Linked DNA regions of Notamacropus eugenii. The protein of the gene in region 3 purifies or fractionates together with the protein of the main gene of each other region. This does not show direct contact. Links are inferred from orthologs where the notes say so. Each region holds a gene or a part of one and is shown on either strand. Other genes may lie near its edges.

What was found. Proteins that work in one complex are often made in the same cells at the same time.
Region 1: the proteins of PPP2CB (region 3) and PPP2R5C purify together in Homo sapiens (affinity purification with mass spectrometry; 3 studies listed by BioGRID and IntAct, counting the BioPlex papers as one, with this or other methods). This does not show direct contact. The link is inferred for Notamacropus eugenii from reciprocal best matches to the Homo sapiens genes PPP2CB and PPP2R5C.
Region 2: the proteins of PPP2CB (region 3) and PPP2R3B purify together in Homo sapiens (affinity purification with mass spectrometry; 3 studies listed by BioGRID and IntAct, counting the BioPlex papers as one, with this or other methods). This does not show direct contact. The link is inferred for Notamacropus eugenii from reciprocal best matches to the Homo sapiens genes PPP2CB and PPP2R3B.

The regions. Positions count from the first base shown.
Region 1 is NC_092872.1:352,312,284-352,319,652, forward strand, and holds the start of PPP2R5C (serine/threonine-protein phosphatase 2A 56 kDa regulatory subunit gamma isoform), read right to left. Parts: upstream 3,014-7,369; 5' UTR 2,697-3,013; coding exon 2,670-2,696; intron 1,392-2,669; coding exon 1,326-1,391; intron 1-1,325.
Region 2 is NC_092876.1:398,822,245-398,830,026, reverse strand, and holds the start of PPP2R3B (serine/threonine-protein phosphatase 2A regulatory subunit B'' subunit beta), read right to left. Parts: upstream 3,014-7,782; 5' UTR 2,447-3,013; coding exon 2,105-2,446; intron 1-2,104. UniProt on the Homo sapiens protein: The B regulatory subunit might modulate substrate selectivity and catalytic activity, and might also direct the localization of the catalytic enzyme to a particular subcellular compartment.
Region 3 is NC_092878.1:167,231,361-167,238,877, reverse strand, and holds the start of PPP2CB (serine/threonine-protein phosphatase 2A catalytic subunit beta isoform), read right to left. Parts: upstream 3,017-7,517; 5' UTR 2,932-3,016; coding exon 2,830-2,931; intron 1-2,829.

The DNA.
Region 1 (7,369 bases), on a different chromosome or scaffold from region 3:
TGAGCGGTAATGGAAAGAAAATGGAAATTTAAAATCTGCCATGAGTTAAGTACCTACACACATACACACACATATGTAAGTATGTATACACACACATATAATACACACATACATATATAATTAAGAAGATGTTTTATATCTAAAAAATTAGCTTCAATGGAACCTATTAAAGTTTCTTACATGGCTTTCAAAAAAAACAAGTATAATTCCTAAGTGGAATTTCATTAATTCTATGGGAATGGAAATAAATGTCAAAGTGATCAGACTAAGTACGTTATGGAGTCAGCTCTCAGAACCAGCAGACTAAATTAGACTGTTTCTTTTATAAGGAGCCTAATTCAATGTGCCTATTAGCTGCTCTTTTAGATAGTATGATTTAGGTTCCCAAGTCCAATCAGTAGGTCATCTTCACTCAGTCCAGAGACCCAATGGACAAAACAAAGTAGTGATTGTGGAAATCCACAAGTTAAAATGACTCAAAGCAACTGTCCAGACTGTCAGTTGATGACATCATCAGTAAATAAGGAACATGGCTTAAAAAATAGGCTGTTGCCAAATACAAGTACAATTTGGAATTTACTCTGTCACGAATCAGCAAAAGTAATATGCACAAGGGGACAAAAAAGTGAGAACTAACACTAAAATAGAACACTGATAGGAGAACATAACAAAAGGCTAAAAATTATTTTAAAAAACAGCAAGAGACTTTTTCATGGAGGTGGGGAGGCCTCAGCCTAAATAGGAAAGGATAAGAAATCAATTAACCAACATGATAAGAAAGAAGGGTTTAGCACAGGTACACTCCCAATCAGCTGAAGGCGGGGGAAGGGGAGTTGAGTATGTAACTGAAGAGTGTGTAGAGATTGAGAGGTGGGTGGTAGGAGGAGGAGTGAGAGGGTGAAGAATTAACAGTTGATAAAGCCTCCTGGCAGATTAGAAGGAAACTGGTCCAGCAGTAGAAAAGAAGAACCAGCAGCTAAAAGGAATAAGTAGAACATGTGTCAGAGAAACATGCCTCCCTGACTGACAGAAACAATATCAGGTCTGTTAGGAGGAAGAGGGAGAAGAGGCCTTTGGGATTACACAACTACGTTGTTGAGCTTTGCTTTTAAACATCCCCATTCCTCATTTTTCCAAATCTGAATTTTCAAATTTCCATTTCTCCACATATCTCCTAAATAAATAAGAGGAAGGGATGACAGAAGCCAAAAGTTCCTTCATATGGGGGAAAATGCCAAGTATTCTGGGTTCTACCACTCTTGATTTTTCTAACTGCTAAAACCAAAAATGTGACTAGTCCAAACACAATAGTTAATTATAATTACCTCTTGTTCTACAGCATCTTGTCCTTCTTTTGTACTTTTTCCACTTTTTCCCGATTTTGCTGGTTCCTGAGAAAACATCAAGCAGATTAAGTTTTATATTTTTGAGTTTGCAAAACCTTCAAACGTTTTAAAACTCTTAAGAACCTATGCAATTACATCTCATTTTAATATTGTTAGAAAGTTCTAAAATATATTGCTTTTTAGAGATGTAACAGACAAGACATTTATTTACTTTTTAGTTTTTGTTACCAAGGCTACAAAACAAACAGATATATGCAATTATTTATGGTGTTGTATGTGTTTAAAAAAAAAAGCTCCCTTCCTTTTCCCTTTTCCTAAACTCCTATGATGGTGGTTTCTAAGGTGACACTAAAATGCTATACAGCGCCACCTGAAACCAAAACAAAAAAAGCCAACGCAGCAGAAATACATATTATCACACATCCACATCATCACAATGCAGGATAATAATACTATTTTATGGCACTAGAAAGTCTCTTTGGGAAGGGACACAGAATTCCTCCCGATCAGGAGGAATCCCCTAGACAACTACGGTGAGCAGAGAAGTTTGGTGTCCAGGGGTGATTTCCCAAAGCCTCTCCCCAGAGTTCGCAAGACACCCCCAGTCCCAGGCCCCCGACGGCTGCGGCTGTTGCTTCACCCTCTTCTCCAAAGCATCGCTGCAACCGGTATCGCCCCCCACCACCCCCGTCGCTGCTGCTGCCGCGGGAAAGAGGTTCTGGGGCGGGGGAGGCACCGACTGTGGACGCCAGATGCCGTTTCCCAGGGCATCCCGCCCGCCTTGCCTCCCAGGACAATCTCGGGCTGCTGTCACGGATCCCCAGGGGCCTGGAGGGGGGCGGAGGGGCGAGGGGTGGGCGCCACCAGCCGCCCGGGCGTGGGCGGGTGGGGAAAGGTGCCCCTTCTCCTACTTGCTGGAGGTTTACCAACTCCTGGGGGTGAGGGGGGGGGGGGGGGGGTGTGGAGCAGAGGGTGGACCTAGGGTTAGGCCGCCGGCAGGGAGGGCTCCCGCTGCCCCGTCCAAGGCCTGGGCACCCCGGGCGCTTCCGCGCCTGCTTTGCTTCCTGGGTGACTAACTCCGAAGCATCAGTTGTCACTGCTCGGGGCTGGGGTCCCGGCCAGCGGGGGCGGCGCAGGCGGGCCCCCAGCCAGGAGCAGAAGTTGTCGGCGAGTTCTCGTCTCAGGGGGGCGGCGCCCGGGCCCCCACACTAGGCCCCGTCCCCAAAGGGGCAGTTTCGTTTTCTCCCCTCCCGCCTCCAGGCCCGGCCCCCAGTCCCCGTCCCCTCGGCTGGCTCGGCGGGCGGGCCGGGGCCCCGGACTCACTTTCTCCTTCTTGTTTTTATTCGGCATGGCTGGTGCGGGCCGCCCGCCCCTGCCGCCTCCTCCTGCGCCGCCGCCGCCGCCGCCGCCGCCGCCGCCGCCGCCTCCTCCTCCTCCTCCTCCTCCTCCTCCTCCTCCTCCTCCACCGCCACCGCCGCCTCCAGCAGCAGCACCGGCAGGAGCAGCAGCAGCAGCGCCCCTGACGCTGCCTCCCTCTGCCCTCCCGCCGCCTTCTCAGCCGCCACCCCCGCCGCCGCCTTGCCGGGGACTGAGTCCCTCCCTCGCCCTCGCTTCCCCTTTTCCAGGCTCCCAGAGGCTGCAGCAGCCGCGGCGGCGGCGGCGGCGTCTCTTCGCCCCTCCCCCCCAGCCCTGACCGCCCCCCTCCCCCTTCCTCTCCCCCTCTCGTAACCCCGCCCCCATTCTCTTTCCCCGCCCCGTTCCGCTTTGCCCGGGTTCCGGACCCCGCCCCACTTAGGCCCCTGCACCGTCCCACTGCCAGGCACGGCGCTTTGTCATTGGTTGAGCTTCCGTCTCCTCCCCCGGTCACGTGCCCGCTAACGTTCGTCCCTCGTCTGGTCCTCCGGGGCTCGGCTTTCCTTCACTCTCGCGCTTTCGAGGGTCGGTCGCCGACTTGCCTTCGCGAGCTTGCTGCTTTGCTTTCAGGCCGGGGACGCCGGAGTCCCCGGGTGCTGCTTCTTTGGGGAGTGCGAGGAAGGAGGAACAAGGCGTGAGGGGCCGGGGCGAGGGACACCCGGAGTCGGGCCGCTGGCCGACCCAAGGAGCTGGGTGGCCCGAGGCCGGCTGCCGGCTGCCATGGGCCGGGCCGGGGTGTGCAGAGGGAGGGGAGCAGCCCGCGGTAACTGGGAACGTTAGCCGCCGTTAAGGGCGGCGGAGCCCGGGAGAGGCTAAGGGGGGCGGCTGGAAGCTACGTGTGAAGACGCAGACCGTCCAACACAGGGGCGCGGAGCCGCCCTCGCTAACGAGGGAGAAGCGGGGACACCCTTGTCCCCACCCCGCCCTCGCCCTGCCGGGAAACGGGGTGTTTTCTTGTCACTTGCGACTCCCTCGCAGTCTAAGTTCCGAGGGTGAAAACCCAGTAAGTCTCGGAGGTGTCAGAAGATGTTATCTGCAAACACCCCCCTCCCTCCTTTCCGGGGCTAAGGTAACAGGAGAAGAGCCCGAAGTGTTGGTTTCCCCCTGGCTGTACCGCCCCCCACCCCATGCTTCCTGACGCAGGCCTCCGTCTCGCTTATCTTGCTTGGGTGGAGCTGATGCTCTTGAGGCTTTGAACCCGAAGCCTCTTCCTGCCAAGTTGGAAGCCCGTGGGTCAGAGTCCGCAGCACCTGCAGAGGGGATGACAGGCATCTCAGGGGGATCTGTCTGCCCCTGTTTGTAGCCGGGTGATCGGGGAGTGGGGCTGGGGGGTGGGGTAGTGGAACTAAGTGGTTCAGACAACCAGTTGGCTAGATGGAGCAGCTGATGACTTTAAAGAATGTTGGGGGGGAGGGAGTTCCCCCTTGGCTAATACATCATGTGAGAAAAACTACTGCATGATGATCGGGAGTCATCTGATTTTTCCACCCCCTTATCTATAAGAGAAAAAAGGTGTGAATTTTCCAAAGAAAACATGGAAGAATTAAAAACATTTAAGCAGATGGAAAGTTGGGGGCCCATGTTCAATTTGGCCACTGTCCAGAAGTAGTTGACTGCTCAAAACTACGGGTCATCCAAATGTTTAGAAGCTGAAAACATGCATTAGGTAATAAAACCATCCAAATCATCCTTTGCTGGAGTTTGTGTAAAAACAAGGAATCTCACCAAATATCTGTGTAATAATTCAGAAACCAGTAGTCCAATTTTAGGCGGTGCTTAGACGTGTTGAGTTGTATCATCCTACGTTTCCAATGAGAGTTGCAAAATAGCATGTGCTGCTCTGTGATGGGAAGTTTAAAAGCCAGAAAACTCGAAATTTAAAGGAAATATTGTTAGGAGTTCAAAAAATAAGTTCTTGCCTGCAGGGGCCTGAATGTACAAAAACATTTAGATGAACATCTAGATTACAGGTAAATAGGCTGCTTAGTCATAAAATTTGCATAAAAACCTGATGCCATTCTCCTTTAGCCTTTATAATGGTTCCATAAATGTTGAAAACAAAAGAAAAATACTCATTTTTGTTATTGTTATTTTAGTTATTGTTATTATATTGTTATATAGTGATAATAAAATGATTATTATTTTAGTTACTGTTAATTTCTTAAAACTTCATAACTAACATAAAAATGCCTAATAACAGTGAATTAAATGTTAAGCAACTTCCTTGTGCCAAGCACTGTGCTAGACCCTGGGAATAAAAGTACAAAGAATGAAGCATGTACTTATAAGGAATTTTCCTTTTAATGAGGAGAGGGGAATAGTACATGTAAAAATTTACAGCATAAATATATACAGTTAAATACAGGATAGTTTGGAAGGGAAGGCAGAAGCAGTTGGCATAAAGAAAGGCTTCATAAAGAAGATAGTGTCTGAGCTGTGTTTAAAAGTTATGAACCTGGAAGAATGGTGGTGTCAACAGAAACGGAGATTTGGAAGGAAGGAGAGGGAATGAGTTCAGATTCGGACATGTTAAGTTTTAAGATGTCTTGATATGGCCATTTTGAAATATCCAATAGTGTTAGGAGACTGAAGTTTGAGAGAGGCTGGGGCCTGATATATAGATATGTAAGTCATCTGCATAGTGGTGATAGTTAAGCCAATGTGAACTGATAGCCAATAAAAGTAATAAGAGACAGGTCCAGCGTGAAAGGGAGTGAATTCACAATGGAATAGATGAGAGCCTAGGATACACTCTTGAGCACCTATAGTTAGGGGATGTGAAATGAATAATTAAGAGGGAATCGTTGAAGACAAAAATCAGGAGACATGTCATGAAAACAGGAGGATCAAGTTGTCTATAGTGTCATGCAATGGATAGTTTAAGAAGGACAAGAACTGGGAAGCATCTGATTTGTCAAGAGATCATTTTGGTAACTTTGGAGAAAGCAGTTTCAGTTGAGTATTAAGGTAAGAAACTAAATTGCAAAGGATTGAAGAATGAGAGAGGGGAAGTGAAGACGGTTAATATAGACCATTTTTTCCAGGAGTTTGACTTAGAAGAGATAAAAAGACAAAGACTTAAAGGTATGGTGGGACCTAACAGGTTTTTTTAAGGAAGGGAAGAGGGCATGTTTTAAGATTCTAGGGGAGGAGGAGATTTATAGAGAGAGATTGATGATTTGAGAGGTGGGGATAAATAAGGATGCATTTTGTTGGAGAAAACAAGAATAGGATCAAAAGCACATATGGAGAGCTTGTCCTTGACAAGGACAAGGGCCATCTCTTTTGTTAGAGACTAGGGGAAAGGAAGACAGTGTTGTGGTTATGTTTTGAGATGAAATGATAAGCAAGCTCACATCATATGGCTTCAGTTTTTTTTAGTAAAGAGGCAAAGTCATCACCTAAGAAGGAGGGATGTTTTGGGCGGGGAGGGGTTGAGGGAAGAGAAGGTTTGGAATAGTTTCTGTGGGAAGTGAAATAAAAGAATCAGGGAGGAATAAAAGGACTTCCTTGCTATAGTGAGGGGTCTAGTTGAGGCTGGATAACACTGACTTTGTAATATACTCAGTCCTTCCTACAGTTTTGTTCAGTGGCATGTGAGTAGGAGTGAAGGAAATGGATAGTGGACATAATCTCAGACTGAGGTTTAGCAAGAGAAGATTGTGAATGAGGCAAGGGACTCAAAACCAGAGTTGAAATGGCTAACTATAGATTTGAGGTTGGAGAGGGAAGAAAGTGAAGTCAGAATAGGGGTACCTGAGAAGGTATTGAGAAGTGGAAGGATTGAATGTCTTCAGGGTAGAGAAAAGATTTAGGAGAAGTGAGGCATAGAGAGATATGTAATACTAGGTTATGGTTAGGGGAATGCCAGAATTTCTAATTAGGGAAGTGTAACACTTATGGTTCAGTGGTGAGCTATATAGTGTGTGATGTCACTATCCCTTTGTGTGGCTGAGGTAGAGTGAAGGAGTAGGTCTTGTGATTTAAGAATACTGAAGAATTGGAAATTTAGGAAGTTAGAGAGAGCACCTATGAAGATACAAGTAAAAGGGCAGGAGTTGGAAGAAGAAGATGCTGAACTTCTTGGGAAAAGCATGAGAATAATTTAGGGATTAGTGTATTACAGTTATAATTTTAATTGGGTGGAAAATTTAAGTGGGCTTCAAAGAAGGAAAAGTTGATAGGTAAACAGCCTGAAAGTAACAGTGGAGATCAAGGGGTATTTTGACTTCCCTTCCAGGACCAGTATTGAGTGAAGAGGAAGAGGAAGAAGGGTATGAGAGAAGGAACAGCCAATGATGAAGAGGATAGACAGTGTCATCAGAGGAGACTATCAGTGATGGCTAATAAAAGTAATATGAGACCCGCCCAGCATGAAAGAGAGTGAGTTCACAATGGAATAGGAATTCCAGAAGACAATAAGAGGAAGCAGGGTTGGAGTAGGTGATTCAGTAGGGTTAGGATTGAGAGAAAGGGAGGAGGGAGCTGGGGACAGTTTTGTAAATGACTGATTAATATAGGGATAGAAGATAAGAGAAGTCATAGGGTAATAGTGACAAGTGAATAGTGAAGCTCATAGTCTCTAGAGGATGCTGCAGAGAGAGCTAGAT
Region 2 (7,782 bases), on a different chromosome or scaffold from region 3:
TATCTTCATGGACTTTCTAGAACTCTGAAAGAAGTTTACAAAATACAAACATTGTCTGCTGACGATAATTTCTTACTACCATATTCTTGAAGTTCAAGTTTTTACATCTCTCTCTCTCTCTCTGAACAGAATCTGGAGCAATTTAAAACCTAGTCCATACTACTTATGCAACCATTGGCAGGACCTGTCCTCCCTGGGTCTCAGTTTCCTACTCTGTAAAATGTGGGACTTACCTAGATGGTCTCTGATGTTCCTTCTTTCTAGATCTATTATCTTCTGATTTGTTCTCCCCCCAAAATTAGTTCCTATTATTTGTAATCATTTCCCCAGTTACCCAGACTCAAAATTCAAGAAGCATTCTTTGATTTTCCCTTCACATACCATAACTTCTCTACTTCTTACCTTTTTTTCCATCACTGCAGCCACTAGTTTAGTCATCAATTATCTCCCACCTGAACTAAAGAAGTTTTTAAATGTTCATTTCTCTTTCTTCCATCCTGCAAACCACTATCAGATGAATTTAAAACACCACTTCTATCACAGGCGGAAATGTGTAGCGAAAACAACACTGAACCTTAAGTCATAACACTTAAGTCTGAGCCCTGACTGCCACTTCACTGTGTAACTTTGGGCAAGTTACTTAAATTCTCTGTGTTTTCTGTTCTCTGTAAAACAGGGATATTTGCACTAGTTATTATACTGGGTGACTGGGAAAAAAGTGCTTTGCAAACCTTAAAGTGTTATACAAATATGAGTCATAATTAGTAGAGAACAATGATTTCCAAGTACTTTAAGACAAACTGTCACTATGTGATATGGCTTTCCCTTCTGCACTTAAGTACTATAAAGCACGTTTACTTTTTAAATTAAAGAAAAAAATTTTGTTTTCAAAATTCTTGACACCATTGAGGCAAGTGGAGACACATGAGGATCAGAATTCAATGGTAGAACACAATCTATTACTTTAGAGAAAATCTGCCACTACTGAAGAAACTACTTCTGGCTCTCATCCCAGTTGTGTTTTCTCAGGCAGGTAACTGATTCTTTGGAGCTTGGTTTCCTTATCAGTAAAATAAAACGGCTGGACAAGGGATAGACAAAACCTTTCAACTCTCAAATTCCATGATTCCCTCTTTTTTTCTGATACTCCTTCAAAATTATTATTTCCAGTGTAGCTGGATGCTGATTGGACTGCATGACTACATGAAAAGATGCTGAGTGTAATGGTTACCAATGATTGACAACAACTTCTTTTGAAGGAGGGTAAAACTATCCATTTCCTTCTTGTCAGGCATTTTTCTGCTGAGCAGACATTTTTATCTGATATCTAATTCCATTACTTATACCACTTATACAACGTCTGTACTTTGTAAACTTCTTCCAAAGTTCTAGAAAGTCCATGAAGATAAGCTTTAAAAAGAGCTTATAGTCTTAGATTTGAAAGCTGGAAAATACAGAAGGGAGAATGTTTCACATAAAACTCTACGACAATGAAATATATATGCTCAGCTGCAGTTTGTAACTTAATTTTGCAGCTTCAGAAATACTGTAGAAACAGTGCTTTCTTATAAAATCATACTTTTTCTTGAACAGTTAAAATGTCTTTCAACTCTCCAATGCCACGATTTCCTCTTTTTTTCTGATAGTAGTTCTGATAAAGTTCAAAAACAGTTTACATAACTCGAAAATGACAAATTATTTATTTCTACACCTATTACAAAACAGCAGACCACCCTATGATATTTACAAAATAATAAAACACTAGAGAAAAATGGTGACTGTATATTCAACCTTCCATCAAGACAAGGAAAGCCTCTCCTTCCTCTGGCCAAACTGTTCATACCCAGCATGTTATTCTCATGAAAATAATGAACACCTCATCTGAGAAATGGAGGATATATTTCATATATATATATATTAAAACTTCGGATTAAGAAGTTTAGAAATTTAGAATCCTGTTGGAAAAGCCAATTTCCATTCCATCTTTCCCTTTCCCGCCAGCCACCTTCCAACCAATGGCAATTCAAAGTCATGAACATCAAGCCCAAGGGAGGACGGGGCCCTCTGCACGTGGTCATTAGGAAAGGTTAACAAGACAACTTACTACTCGGGTCCCCGTAGATCTACGAGTCCCTCGGCCGTGCGGCCCGCTTCGGGGGCCAGCGGAGGCGCCCAGGGGCAGCGCGCTGGACACCCCAGGGCTCGGGGTCCCCAAGGGCGCCATCAGGTTATCTAGCACGTTCCGCTTGGAGCTGGCGACCTTGGCGGCCAGGAAAGGCTGCGCGTCCCCGGCCAGGCCGCCGCCGAGATCTATCCTCTCGGCGCTCCGGATCCTTTTCAGGCAGTCCTTGAGCATCACCTGCGTGTTGGTCTCACTCAGCCAGCACAGGAACAACTCGTCCACTTTCATCTTTAGGACTGGCTGCAGGACTTTACCAGCGGGCATTCTGGGGTGTCTGTTACCGGCTCTTGGGGTGGTCTGTCCTTCCTGCCCCCGGGGCGCTCTTCCTCCTCCTTCCCCACCCCACCCCCGCCCCCCGCTCCCACTTTTCCTGGTGCCCAGGACGGAGGCCGGGCTGTCTAAAGTGAGGGCTGTTGCAGGCCGCGGCCCCCAGCCCTTCCTCGACTGCTTAAAGACACCGCCAGGACTCCGGCATTGGAGGGGGGGGTGATTTCGAGTGGGGGGGGGGAACACGAGGTCAAACGCCCGGCGCTGGAGGAGGGCGGGGCGGAACCGCGGCCCGAGCGGACGAGGGCGCAGACGAGGGCACGGGCGGCCCCGGGGCCTCCAGAGGAGGCAGCGGCGTCCGAGCACCTCGGGGGCAGCTGCGGGGCCACGGAGCCGGGCGCGGGGCTGAGCGCATTGGCTGGTTGGCTTCCTCAGGAGCCCGTCGAGGGAGGAGGAGGAGGAGGCTCCGAAGAGAGCGGAAGCGAACAGGAAGCCTGCCCAGGGCAGCTTCAAAACGGGCGCCCCCAGCCCCGCTCCGGAACGCTGTGGCCGCCGCAGGCCGTCTCACGCTGCCGCCGTCGGCACGCCGCGGCCCGTGACGTCATCACGCAGCGTCCCTTTCCCTATAAAAGGCCGAGGCCGGCGGGCAGCGGTTACGTTATCCCGTGGAGCGGCCTTAGGGACGGTCTGCATGTTTGTAGCTTTGGAGACTCCTCTCAGCCAGGGAGCGTGACCTGTTTGAGTTCTGGAACCGCCGAAGGATTTCTCTCCTGGTGGAGCGGGGCGGGAGGGACGGTCTGGGCATGCGCACACTGGGAAGGGCTGCGCTAGAGACTCCTTCCCAGGAAATTCAATAATTAAATTTATCCAAGAGGCGAATGGCTTCCTGAACTCCGTTTACTGAGTGAGAGCCGCTGCGGAATGGATTCTTATTTTTTAAATGAGCCTATTCATCTCGAGAAGGTCACAGTATTTTTCCTATATTACCTTCGCATGCCCAGCCTTTACTTGGCATGGTTGTGGTTCCCTAAGGCTCATGTCTCTGATCATTCCCCCAGTGTCTGGTCTAGCACCCCATTCTTCTCCATCCGTAGCCCCAAAGGCACCTGGACCTCTAGATTACCTAATCAGCACCCCTGGCATTCTTTCCCCATGCCCTTTCCTATATAAACTCTGGATTCACCCCCTTAAGATGCAAGTTCCTCAAAAAAGAACTTCACCAGCTCCTGTTGACCTTCCAATAAACTTGAATTTGTTCCAGCCAACCCTCTCTTAACCCTCTCAGGGCCTCCTCCACCCAAGCCTCTCCAGTGATGGACAATGGACACAGAGGTAGAGACGTGGAGGTTTTTTTGGACATGGGGGATTTGGGAATTTGCTTTGATTGTTAGATGCTTGTCAAAGCAGTATTGTTTTTCTTGCTTTCCCAATTTGGGAAGAAGAGGATGGGAGAATGTGAGAGAGAAAAAAAGGCAGATCGTTTGGAAAAAATCAAATTTTATTTCAAAAAATGTTTCTTGAAGTAAAGAGACCTTCACTATCATCTAATCCAATTCTCTCATCTTACACCTGAGAAAATTGGGCCTCAGACATAGGAAATGATCTGTTTGTGGTCACACAGGTATTAAAAGAGGCCAAAGGAAAAATTCAGTCCAGACCCTCCAACCCTGAAGCTACCACATTGGTTCAGATAATCTGTAGGGTCCCTTCTACTCGAATCTTCAGTGTCTTTTTTATCAACTGCCTCCTTCCTGGCTGCCTAGAAGCAAGCCTGTGTCTTCCCCTTCCTATAGAAAAAAATCCTCACTTGATCCAGCCATCTCTCCTAGCTACCTACCATTCTGTATTCCTCTTTCCCTTCTTAGATAAACTTATTGAGAAAGCTATCTTCACTGGGTTGGAGCACTTCTTCTTCTCTCACTTTATTCAAAGCACTCTGTAGTCTGGCTTGCATTCTCATCATTCAGCTGAAACAGCTTTTCTGAGTTACCGATGGTTTCTTAATTACCAAGTCTGATAACCATTTTTCAGTCTTAATCCTTCAATCTTGGCCTGTCTGTAGCATTTAACCTTATTGGTCATTTTCTCATGAATCCTTTCGACTCTTTGCCCTTTCCTGGTTCTGTGACCATTCTTTCCTAATCTACTGTGTTTTCTTCTATCTCACACTCAGTAATCATAGGTGTCTTCCAAGGCTGTGCCCTGGGCCCTCTTCTCCCTCTACAATCACACTTCACAGTCTCGTTAACTCCCTGGGTTAGGTTATCATCTGTATGCAGATGTTTCACATATCTCCATTTACACCCCAGTCTGTCTCCTGGGCTCCAGTTCCACATTACGAGCTGCCTTTTGGATACCTCATAGTCATTTCAAACTTAGTTTGTCCAAAAACAGAACTCATCTTTCCCTTCAAACCTTCCCCTTTTCCAAACTTAACTGTTAGTATATTGTAATAGCCTTCTGGCTGCTCTCCTTGCCTCAGGTTTCTCTTTATTCCAAACCACTCTCCAGTCTGTTACCAAGGTGATTTTCCTAAAACTTAGATCTTACTATATCATGTCCCCTGCTCAATAAACTCTGTTGGCTGCCTGTTGCCTACAGGATGAAATAAAAAAATGTTCTGGTTGTATTTAAAGCCCTCCATGACCTAAGCTATTTCTATCTATCCAGTCTTCGTAAATCTTATTCTAGTGCTTGCCGCTGCTTGAGCGCTGGTTCTCCCCCAAACTGGCTAAGCACTCCCTCCTTTCTTCTCCTTCCTGGATTCCCTGGCCTTCTTCAAGACTCAGCTCACATCCCATCCACTGTTAGTGGCCTTCTTACCCCTTCCATCCTCTCCCCAAGTTCTTCCCTCTGAGATTACTTTGCATTTACTACATATGTATATGTGTATGTGAGTACACACACACACACACACACACACACACACACACACACACACACACACCTTGCTTGCACACAATTATTGGCATGTTGTCTCCCCAATTAGATTATGAGCCTCTTGAGGATAGGATTCATATTTTTGCCTTTTTTAAAAAAAATCAGTGCTTAGCACAGTACCTGACACATAGAAAACCCTTGATAAATTGTAGACTGACTCTTGATCTCACGTCCAGAACTTGTCACAAATCCATGCCCTTCTTTGCTTTTCCCTATGTTTTGAATTCCTTGCTAAAATTCACCACATATCTGCTGAAGTCCTGTTCTGCACTAAAGCTTTTCCTGATGGTTGCTTGTTATGAATGATCCTTGTCCTCATCTGTTTTCATACCACTTCATATTCCTTATTGCTTAAGGGCAAGTAATGGATGACAAATCCAAAGATGGTAGTCTTGTGAGAATTGGTGTCTAGAATACTGATGCTTATTATGAACAGAAACAGCAAAAGCTTTTTACTAATATAGAGGCTGAAGCAAAATTTGTACAAGGCATCTGGCAAATTCTGGGACAAAATGGAGGGATGTGGGCTAGATGTTAGTATAATTAGGTGGATTCAGGTATTTCAGCTGAGTCCTAAAGAAAACCCAGGGATTCTAAGAGGAAGAGATAAGCAGAGAGAACATTTCAGACATGGGAAAAGACATGTGATGTCAGACATGGAGACAAGTGATGGAGCAAGTAGACCAGTACATTTGGACTATAGAATGCATGGAAAGGAGTGATATGTAAGATAATGGGAAGATAGGAAGGGCCTGGAATATCTAGGGATATAAATGCCAACTAGGAATTTATATTTGATCCTAGAGGTAAGAGGGTGCCATCGGAGTTTTTTGAAAGGGTGATCAAACTTGTAAGAAAACCATTTTGGCATCCATGGAGAGAAAGGAAGCTGAAAGTAGAACCAATGCTATTGCCATGGTCCAGGCAAGAGGGGCATTCTAGTATGGTGGCTATATTAGTAGGGGGAAAGAAATTAAAAGATTTGATAATACACTGAATACTTGATGAGGGAGAAGGAGTGGAAGATGATACTGAGGTTGTGAACCTGATTGACAGGGAGAATGGTGCCCTTTATAATAATAGAGAAGATTGAAAGAGGGGTAAGGTTGAGGGAAAGATAAGGAATTCTGTTTTAGACATGCTGGGTTTGAGAACAAATGCTCAGTAGGCAGTTGGATTTAGACTAGAGCTGAACAGGGAGAGATGGAGGCAAGATATATAGATCTGAGAATAATCTGTAAGAGATAATTGAATTGATGGGAGCCGATAAGATCACAAAGTGAAAGCATATCTTAATACCTGAATTTCTTATATCACTTTATTCAGTTTTATTTCCAAATAATTTTGTTTGCTCTTTCAGGTCATCTAGCAATCAATCATCAGAACAGCAGAGCTGGAAGGAACCTTACAAAGAGATCATCTAATCTAAACCCTTTATTTTATAGATGAAATTGAGAGGGAGCAATATGCTTAAATGAAACATTTTGTAAAGCAACAAAAGCCAGTTCAGGGTATCAGTGAGTTATTACATTAACTTGAGTGCAACTTAGAAGTCTTCTAACCCCCCTCTCTTTTTACAGTAGGGAAGTAAAATTAATCCCAGATAGGTGGAGTGACTTACCCAAAGTCACACTAGGAGAGTCACAATTCAAATTCCAAATCCAGTCTTCTTCCCACTGTTCACTCCAAATGGAATTTAACGCTAATGGCTTTCAAATTAATGGTTATAACTGTAAATGTGTTAGGTTATGGAATTGTATACAGAGCTGGTTTAGTAACTCAGTACCTGCTTAGCCTACTGATTTAGTAATTTAAGAGAGAGAGATAATCAGGGTCAAATATTTTTAAATATGGGGTAGATAGGAAACCAGTTTTAGTTTTTCTTGATTATATATGTCATCAAATTTATTTTTGTGAAAAACTTTTCAAGAGACTAGCCCTAGTGAAATCAAAACTATGAAGATTACCATTAATTGAAAGGAATCCTTTTAAGAATCTTTCATAGAATTCATAAAGTTATTTTATTATGAAGGTTAGTGGAGGAATAGAAGGTAAGCTCCTAGAAAGTAGGAATATTTCCATGTTTCTCTTTGTATCCCTAAGCCTAGAACACTGCCTTGAACGGAATAGGTGCTTAATAAATTTTAATTCAATCCTTGAAAAATTATTGTGTTCAGTACTTTTATTCTCTTTCTGTCTTATACCTGTGCATTGACATTTCCTGCCTGCAGTTACATCCTGTCCTTGTTAAACCTGGGCGTCCTTGCATATTTGTTACTTTGTACATGCTAGCAACTGTAATCTGACCCTTCATTTTATGTTGCAGGTAACATTATGGCCTCATAATCAACTGAATAATACACTAATACCAGAGTAATGTACATCATCTTTGA
Region 3 (7,517 bases):
ATGGGAAGGAAGATGATGTCTGGCCCTGTCCCAGCTGAAGAAAGTCTGTGGAAACGAACTAGAAGTTCAGAGCAAGCAGGTCTCAAAGGAATATCAATTCTGTTAAATTAGAGATGTCAGACCACTCTGTCCAAGACGTCCATCCCAAGGTAGTAATGGCTAGTGACAGGGAGAATGAAGATCCTACGATGGACAGGCCACCTCTAGGTACACCCACAGGTCATCATCCTAAACAATCCAGGCCAAATCAGGGCTACCTGGCTACACCCCTGCTCAGGGTAGCCTCACTGCTGCCAGTGCTGGCCTGAAGGACAGACTGACTTTCATTCTGGCACCCTCCTGAGAGCTAGTATTGCTGCCACTACTGGCACAGTCCCAGGCAAGCCACGGGAGCGGAGAGCTTCTTGGATTATCCTCCTCTGGGTGGCTGCACTGTTCCTGGTATAAGACAGAGCCCGCTTGCGGCTGGCATCAAGGAAGAGGATTAGAGGGTTATTAGAGAAGCCAAAGTCACACAATCTGCCTAAAAAGTTCAACAAACATTCTGTCCACTGACGGCCACCCCAGCATCCATCAGCAGTGGGAGAAAGGTCTCAGAGCTGCTTGTCTCAGCTGACCATGTACGTTTAAGGGTAAGAGAACTGGTTAAAAACCCCTCCCAACATTGAACCTCACTGACGTGAAGGACAGCACACAAAGCCGGAGTCAGCCTCAGGCCTCAGTACCAGTCAGGCTACAGGGAGCCCTCAGCATGGCTCACAGGCTAGGCTGACACTACTGACATGGAACTGAAAGGGGAAAACGTGAAGAAGCGGCGTGGAGGGGGCAGGGAGGGGAGGTCGGACTGAGCCAGGGGGTGCTCCTCACTGACTCCGGACCCAGGAAAGGTCCCTGAGTCACCACCAGCCCAGACGGGAACCCAGACCTTCCGTTCCTTCGGTGCCTGGGAGTGCCACTGGCCAGGTGACCCACGGGTCTGAGACCAGGCCACCCATGGGTCTGAGACCTAAGGCCAGGCCACGCACGGGTCTGAGACCAGGCCAGGCCACGCACGGGTCTGAGACCTAAGACCAGGCCAGGCCACCCATGGGTCTGAGACCTAAGACCAGGCCACGCACGGGTCTGAGACCTAAGACCAGGCCAGGCCACCCATGGGTCTGAGACCTAAGACCAGGCCACGCACGGGTCTGAGACCAGGCCAGGCCACGCACGGGTCTGAGACCAGGCCAGGCCACGCACGGGTCTGAGACCTAAGACCAGGCCACGCACGGGTCTGAGACCAGGCCAGGCCATGCACGGGTCTGAGACCTAAGACCAGGCCAGGCCACGCACGGGTCTGAGACCAGGCCACGCACGGGTCTGAGACCTAAGACCAGACCAGGCCATGCACGGGTCTGAGACCTAAGACCAGGCCACCCACGGGTCTGAGACCAGGCCACCCATGGGTCTGAGACCAGGCCACGCATGGGTCTGAGACCTAAGGCCAGGCCACCCATGGGTCTGAGACCAGGCCAGGCCATGCACGGGTCTGAGACCTAAGACCAGGCCAGGCCACCCACGGGTCTGAGACCTAAGACCAGGCCAGGCCACGCACGGGTCTGAGACCTAAGACCAGGCCAGGCCACCCACGGGTCTGAGACCTAAGACCAGGCCAGGCCACGCACGGGTCTGAGACCTAAGACCAGGCCAGGCCACCCACGGGTCTGAGACCTAAGACCAGGCCAGGCCACCCACGGATCTGAGACCTAAGACCAGGCCACGCACGGGGCTAAGACCTAAGACCAGGCCAGGCCACGCACGGGGCTGACAGCACACGCACTCCTCGCCCCAAAGCCGCCCCGCCCTCACCTGGGCTCCGGGCACTCTAGGTCACAGGCCTCCTCCCCACAGACCCCGGCGCTCATCCGGGCGCAGGGGACCCTTCCTCAAGCAGCTCTCGGACCCGTGCCCAGGCTGCTCCAAACCTCCAGCGGCTCCGCGAGATCACTCATTCACTCAGCAAACACTGAGGCCCCAGTGGCCAGTCTGGGGGAGACGGCGGGCACCGAGGGTCCACAACTGACCCGGAGGGGGCGGGGAGGCCGGTTTGGGGGTCACACTGGACACCGCCGAGAAGCCAGAGCGGTCCGGGCCAGGAGCCACTCTGCGAGGCAGAGGGACGCTGCGGGGATCCGGGAAGGCTGCCGTGACGTGGACGGAGACCGCACATAAACAACTCGCTGGGGCCAAGCAACGCCAAGGAGGGCATCCCCACACGGGGAGGGGGGAGAGAAGGCCCCGAGAGAACGGCGCCGCCCCGCCCCTCCCCCTCCCCCTCCTCCTTCGGGCGGCCCCTCCCCCTCCCCCCTCTCCCGGCCTCCCCTCCCCCTCCCCCTCCCCCTCCGGGCCGCCCCTCCCCCTCCCCCTCCCCCTCCTCCTCCGGGCCGCCCCTCCCCCCTCTCCCGGCCTCCCCTCCCCCTCCCCCTCCCCCTCCGGGCCTCCCCTCCCCCTCCCCCTCCCCCTCCGGGCCGCCCCTCCCCCTCCCCCTCCTCCTCCGGGCCGCCCCTCCCCCTCCCCCTCCTCCTCCGGGCCGCCCCTCCCCCTCCCCCTCCTCCTCCGGGCCGCCCCTCCCCCTTCCCCTCCGGGCCTCCCCTCCCCCTCCCCCTCCCCCTCCGGCCGCCCCTCCCCCTCCCCCTTCCCCTCCGGGCCGCCCCTCCCCCTCCCCCTCCTCCTCCGGGCCGCCCCTCCCCCTCCCCCTCCTCCTCCGGGCCGCCCCTCCCCCTCCGCCTCCGGGCCGCCCCTCCCCCTCCCCCTCCTCGTTCGGGCCGCCCCTCCCCCGCCCGGCCGCACCTTCTCACAGAGCGTGCGCACTTGGTTCTCGTTCAGCTGCTTGCACTCGTTCAGCTGCTCCACCCACTGGTCCAGCTCCTTCGTGAACACCTTGTCCTCCATGATGGCGGCAGCGGCGGCGGCGGCAGCGGCGGCGGCGGCTGCGGCGGCGGCGGCCAAGGGGGCTCGTGCTGGACCCCGCCGGGCCCGGGCCCTGGCCCCGCCCCCGCCCCGCCCCGGCGCCGGTCCCGCCCGCCGTCGAGCCCCGCCACGCCACGCGAGCCCCGCCCCCGCCCCGCCCTTAGGGGGGGCGCGAGCCGGGACGGCGCGGGCGCGCAGGCGTGCCCGGGCGAGAGACGCGGCGACGGGGCCGCGCACGGAGGCGCGGGGGCGTGCCCGCCGGCCACCAACCCCTCCTGCGCGCGCGCGCCGCCCCGCCCCCTCCGCGGCGCGCACAGCCGCTCCCAGGGCCCACGGGCGGGGCCGAGCTGGGGGCGGGGCCGAGCTGGGGGCGGGGCCGAGCTGGAGGCGGGGCGCCACTGACCGGCCCGCCTGCCTGCCTGCCTGCCTGCCTCCCTACGGCCCGCCCGGGCCGACTCCGCCCTCTCCCGCAGCCCTCCTCACGCTCCCTGCCCGTCGGGGCCCGTCACCGCGGGGCACTTCCGCCGGAAGGAGACGAGGGAGGGGGCCGCACGCGAGCGGCGGGAGGGGGAAGGCAGGCGGAGGGAGCACGAGCCGGTACCGCTGGCCACAGCACCACCACGCGGCCGGGAGGAGGAGGAGGAGGAGCGGGAGGAGGCGGTGACGGCGCGGCGCGGCGCTGACCCCCTGCGTCACTGCGTGACTTGCGCCGCGGCGCCGCCCCTTGACGTCAGTCACTCCAAGGCCCTCTCCCACCCTGCGCGTCCCGCTCCGAGCGCGGGACCCCGCTCCTCGGGTCTGGGCCTGCGCAGGAGGGGCGGGCCGATCGGCGTGGTTCGGGTTCTCCGGGCCCGCCCCCCGCTCTGTCTCTCCCCCAATAGCCGCGGTCACTGCCGCCTGCCGCCAGGGGCGCTCTCCGGAGCTGTCCGAGGTAGCCGCAGATGCTCCGGGAGGTCGGCCCGGGTGCCACGCCCCCCTGCCCCGGACTGCGCTTCTCCCGATGCCCCGGCTTGGGGCCCGGCCTTGGACAGAGAAGCGGAAAGGCGAAGGCTCCGGAGGCAGGGCGCGGACTCCGTGTCCGAGCCCTCCGCTTTGTTCGGTTTGCTGTAGAGATGGGCACGGAAAGCTGGCGTTCGTGTGCCCGTTCTCGCAGCCTGGCGCTTCCGCTAGGTCTCGGGAGCGGAGAGGCGCGTCTGGTCCGTGGGTCCGTGGGAGGAAACACGCGGCGGCACATCCCGCCCGAGAGCGGCTCCTCCGACCCAGAGCGCGTGTAGACGTTTAACACGCCGAGGGTTTCTGCCCTCGCTGCAGGATTGGAGCCGGCGTCACGGTGAAGCGCCCACAAGGCAGCTCTCCGGGGGCGCAGTAGGGGCGAGACCAGGCTCGCGTGGGCACACGGACGCCCTGGGAGCTGTCGGGGAGCTGTTTAAAAAGTAACAGCGCATTGTAACTTTGTATCACGCTGTGAGGTCTGCAGATGATACTAAGCAGCCTCTGTCACCCTGGAGGCAGGCGCTGTCAGCCTCATTTTACAGATGAGGAAACTGAGGCAGGAAGATTAAGTGGGTTTTTTCTAGGCTATATTTAAACCGACTTTTCCTGACTCCAAGATCTAGCTGCCTCTAAGTCTTACCAACTGAGAGAAAAGGCAGCATCTAGAGTCCCTAGACTGACTTTTGCTTCGATAAACGGTCACTACCCAGCTCTCCCGAGGTCTTCTGCGTAAGCAGACTTGGTTACGGAAGTCCAGCCATGGACTACTTCTCCGGGAAGTGGCTTTCATTTCGACTTATCATGTCCCTAGGTCAGAAGGATTTGAGAAGCAGCGGCTAGATAGTCCTAGCCCAAGAACCCTCCAGGAGACTGGAGGAAGCATTGCCCAAAGACCTTCAAGGGGTCCCTGTGACCCAGCCTCCGCAGTCCCCGACCCTGCCAGCCCCTCCCTCCAGTCCCTGCTGACCACAAAGAAGGAAGAGATAGGGGAGCTAGAGCAGATCCAAGGTGCCACCCATGAGCCTTTGCAGTGATGGTTGGTCCTTGGGTTCATCTGAGGTTTTCCAAGTGGTTTGATGTCATTGTCTGCATTTTTCTCCTGGTTCTACGGATTTCCCTATGCATCGGTTCATTTAAGACCAAAGGACTTCCCATGTGTCTGGAACTGTCTTCATAACTTCTTAGGTAAAGAGGCATTCCATTATATTTATACAGCATAACTTGTCTGCTGTTCCCCAACAGATAGATATTCACTTCTTTGCCATCGCAAGAAGAGGTGCTATATACAAACTGTTAGTACCTAGGGGTCCTTTTCCTCTTTCCTTGATGTCTTTCTGGGTTTACAGAGGGCAGCAGGCACAGTTTAGTAGCTTTGGGGCCATAATTCCAAATGGTTTTCCAAAATGACTTGCTCATGTCACAGCTCCAACATGCATCAATGTACCTGTTTTCTCACAGCCCCTCCAGCATTTATTTTCCTTTATTTGTTACTTTGTCAGTCTGGAAGGTAAGAGGTAGAACCTTAGAGTTGTTTTAATTTATATTTCTCCAGTTATTCATGATTTAGAGCCTTCTTTCACATGGCTATAAATAGCTTGGATTTTTTTTTCTGAAAACTGCCTAGGCTTTCTTTCTAGACTGATCACCCATTATTCCCCCATACGAACTCTGCTCAAGCCAAATCGTGTTGCTTGCTGTTTCCCCTACACGCCAACCAATGCCTTCCCTCCATATCTTTGCACAAGACGTTCTATGCACATCAAGAAATCTGACACTTCCCACAATTCTGAGTCAATTTCAAAGCTCATCTCAGGGGCTACCTCCCATAGGAGTCCTTCCTTGTACTTCTGGGAAGAGATGCCAGTGCTCTCACCCCAATGTTACTTTTCATTGTACATATGTGCATATACACACATAGGTGTACATATCTATCTAATCTTACCTGTGTACTGTCTAAGCTTTCCCCTGTAGAATGTAAGTTTCTTTATGGCAGAGACCATTGCATTTTTATCTTCAAATCTCTAGTCTGGGACAACTCCTGACACACTGTTGTTGTTCAGTCGTGTTGGATTCTTCCTCACTCCGAGGACCCTAGTACACCAATGCTGTCCATGAGGATTTCTTGTCAAACTGACACACAGTAGGTGCTTCAAAAAATATTTGAGTTGAAATGAATTAAACGGATTAGAAGGCATGAGACTGGCCACTACTTCTCTTAAGGATCTAAGAGTAACCCCAAGGGGCTATCCTTCTAACAGTGCCACTCACGAGCCCCTGGTGGGGTGCTTCCTTTTAACAATTGGCCAACAGACTTAATTAGCTTTTAGAAAATGTATTTACTCAGAGTTTAGTAAGAAAGGCTGGCAAAATATAGTCCCCACCTCCAAAAACCTGGGGTACCCTCTCCCACAAATACATACAAGGCCATAAGAAGGATGGACTCAAACTTAGACTACAAGGGTAGTCACAATTAATTCATCCTTCTTGTGCTCTGTGGCCCCAAAGTCCTTTCTTAAGTTCACAGCCAGCCTCTTCGGTCTTTCCACATCCATCTGTCCTTCCTTCTTTGGGAAGTGTTGTTTCCTACTGATTTCAGGTCATCTCTTCAATCTCAGCTAGAGATAGTTGATGTTATTGGTCCAATCTTTCTGATGACATGGTCAATTGGAAGAGACAAGAGAGAAACTTTGCCCCCTCCCCCCTTTCCAATAGCAATTCCCTTTCAGTTGGACTTAGCTCCAACTCTCAAGATGGAATTCTTAGTTCCTGAACTTAGAGCCTACCACTGCTAGCTTGGTCCCCCAATAGAAAGACCACTGTTTTTATACATAGGCTGACAGGTATGTGTGATTCTTTTGGCCAATCAAAGCAGGGAGTGAGCTGCCTTCATCCATGACCAAATCTGCATAATGCTCCAAAATGACTTATTCACAACCTATGGTGGAGGTATAGAGGCAGCAGAGTACAGGGGACAGAAAGCTGTCTTCAAAGCTAGGAAGCCCCAAGTTCCAATCTAGCCTCTGATACATATTACCCACGTGACCCTGGAAGCCACTTTGTTTGCACAGAGGATCAAATGAGGTCATGAATGTTCAGCTCTTTGCAAGTAATACATAAATCTTATTATTATTTAACAAATAAAGGTGGTTAAATGTGATGCACTAGGGAGGGAGGGCCCTGGCATTCGCAGGTCTTTATTTAGAAAAGCTTCATACAGATCACACTGGAGCTGCATTTTAAAGAAGAGTTAGTCGTTGAGGGAAAGATGAGGAAGTAAAATCCTAAATATGAGGGACATCCAAACGCAGGTGGTGACTCAGCTGTGGGGTGAAGGAGTGAGGAGTCAAGGCTGATTCGAAGCTATGAGCCTGGGCTGTTGCAGGAAGCAGTAAAGTTCAGAAAATGGGTAGATTTGGGCGGGAAAGAGCCTCTGGCTGCTACTCTTTCCAAACTGAAAGTTACCTTGATTTACTTGGGTCTATAGGCCATCTATCCCTCCAGCAGAGGCCAGGGCTGTCCATGCTGTCTTGGTCTCCCAATGCCTGGCATGTGGGAGGCATTAATAAAGGTCTGGT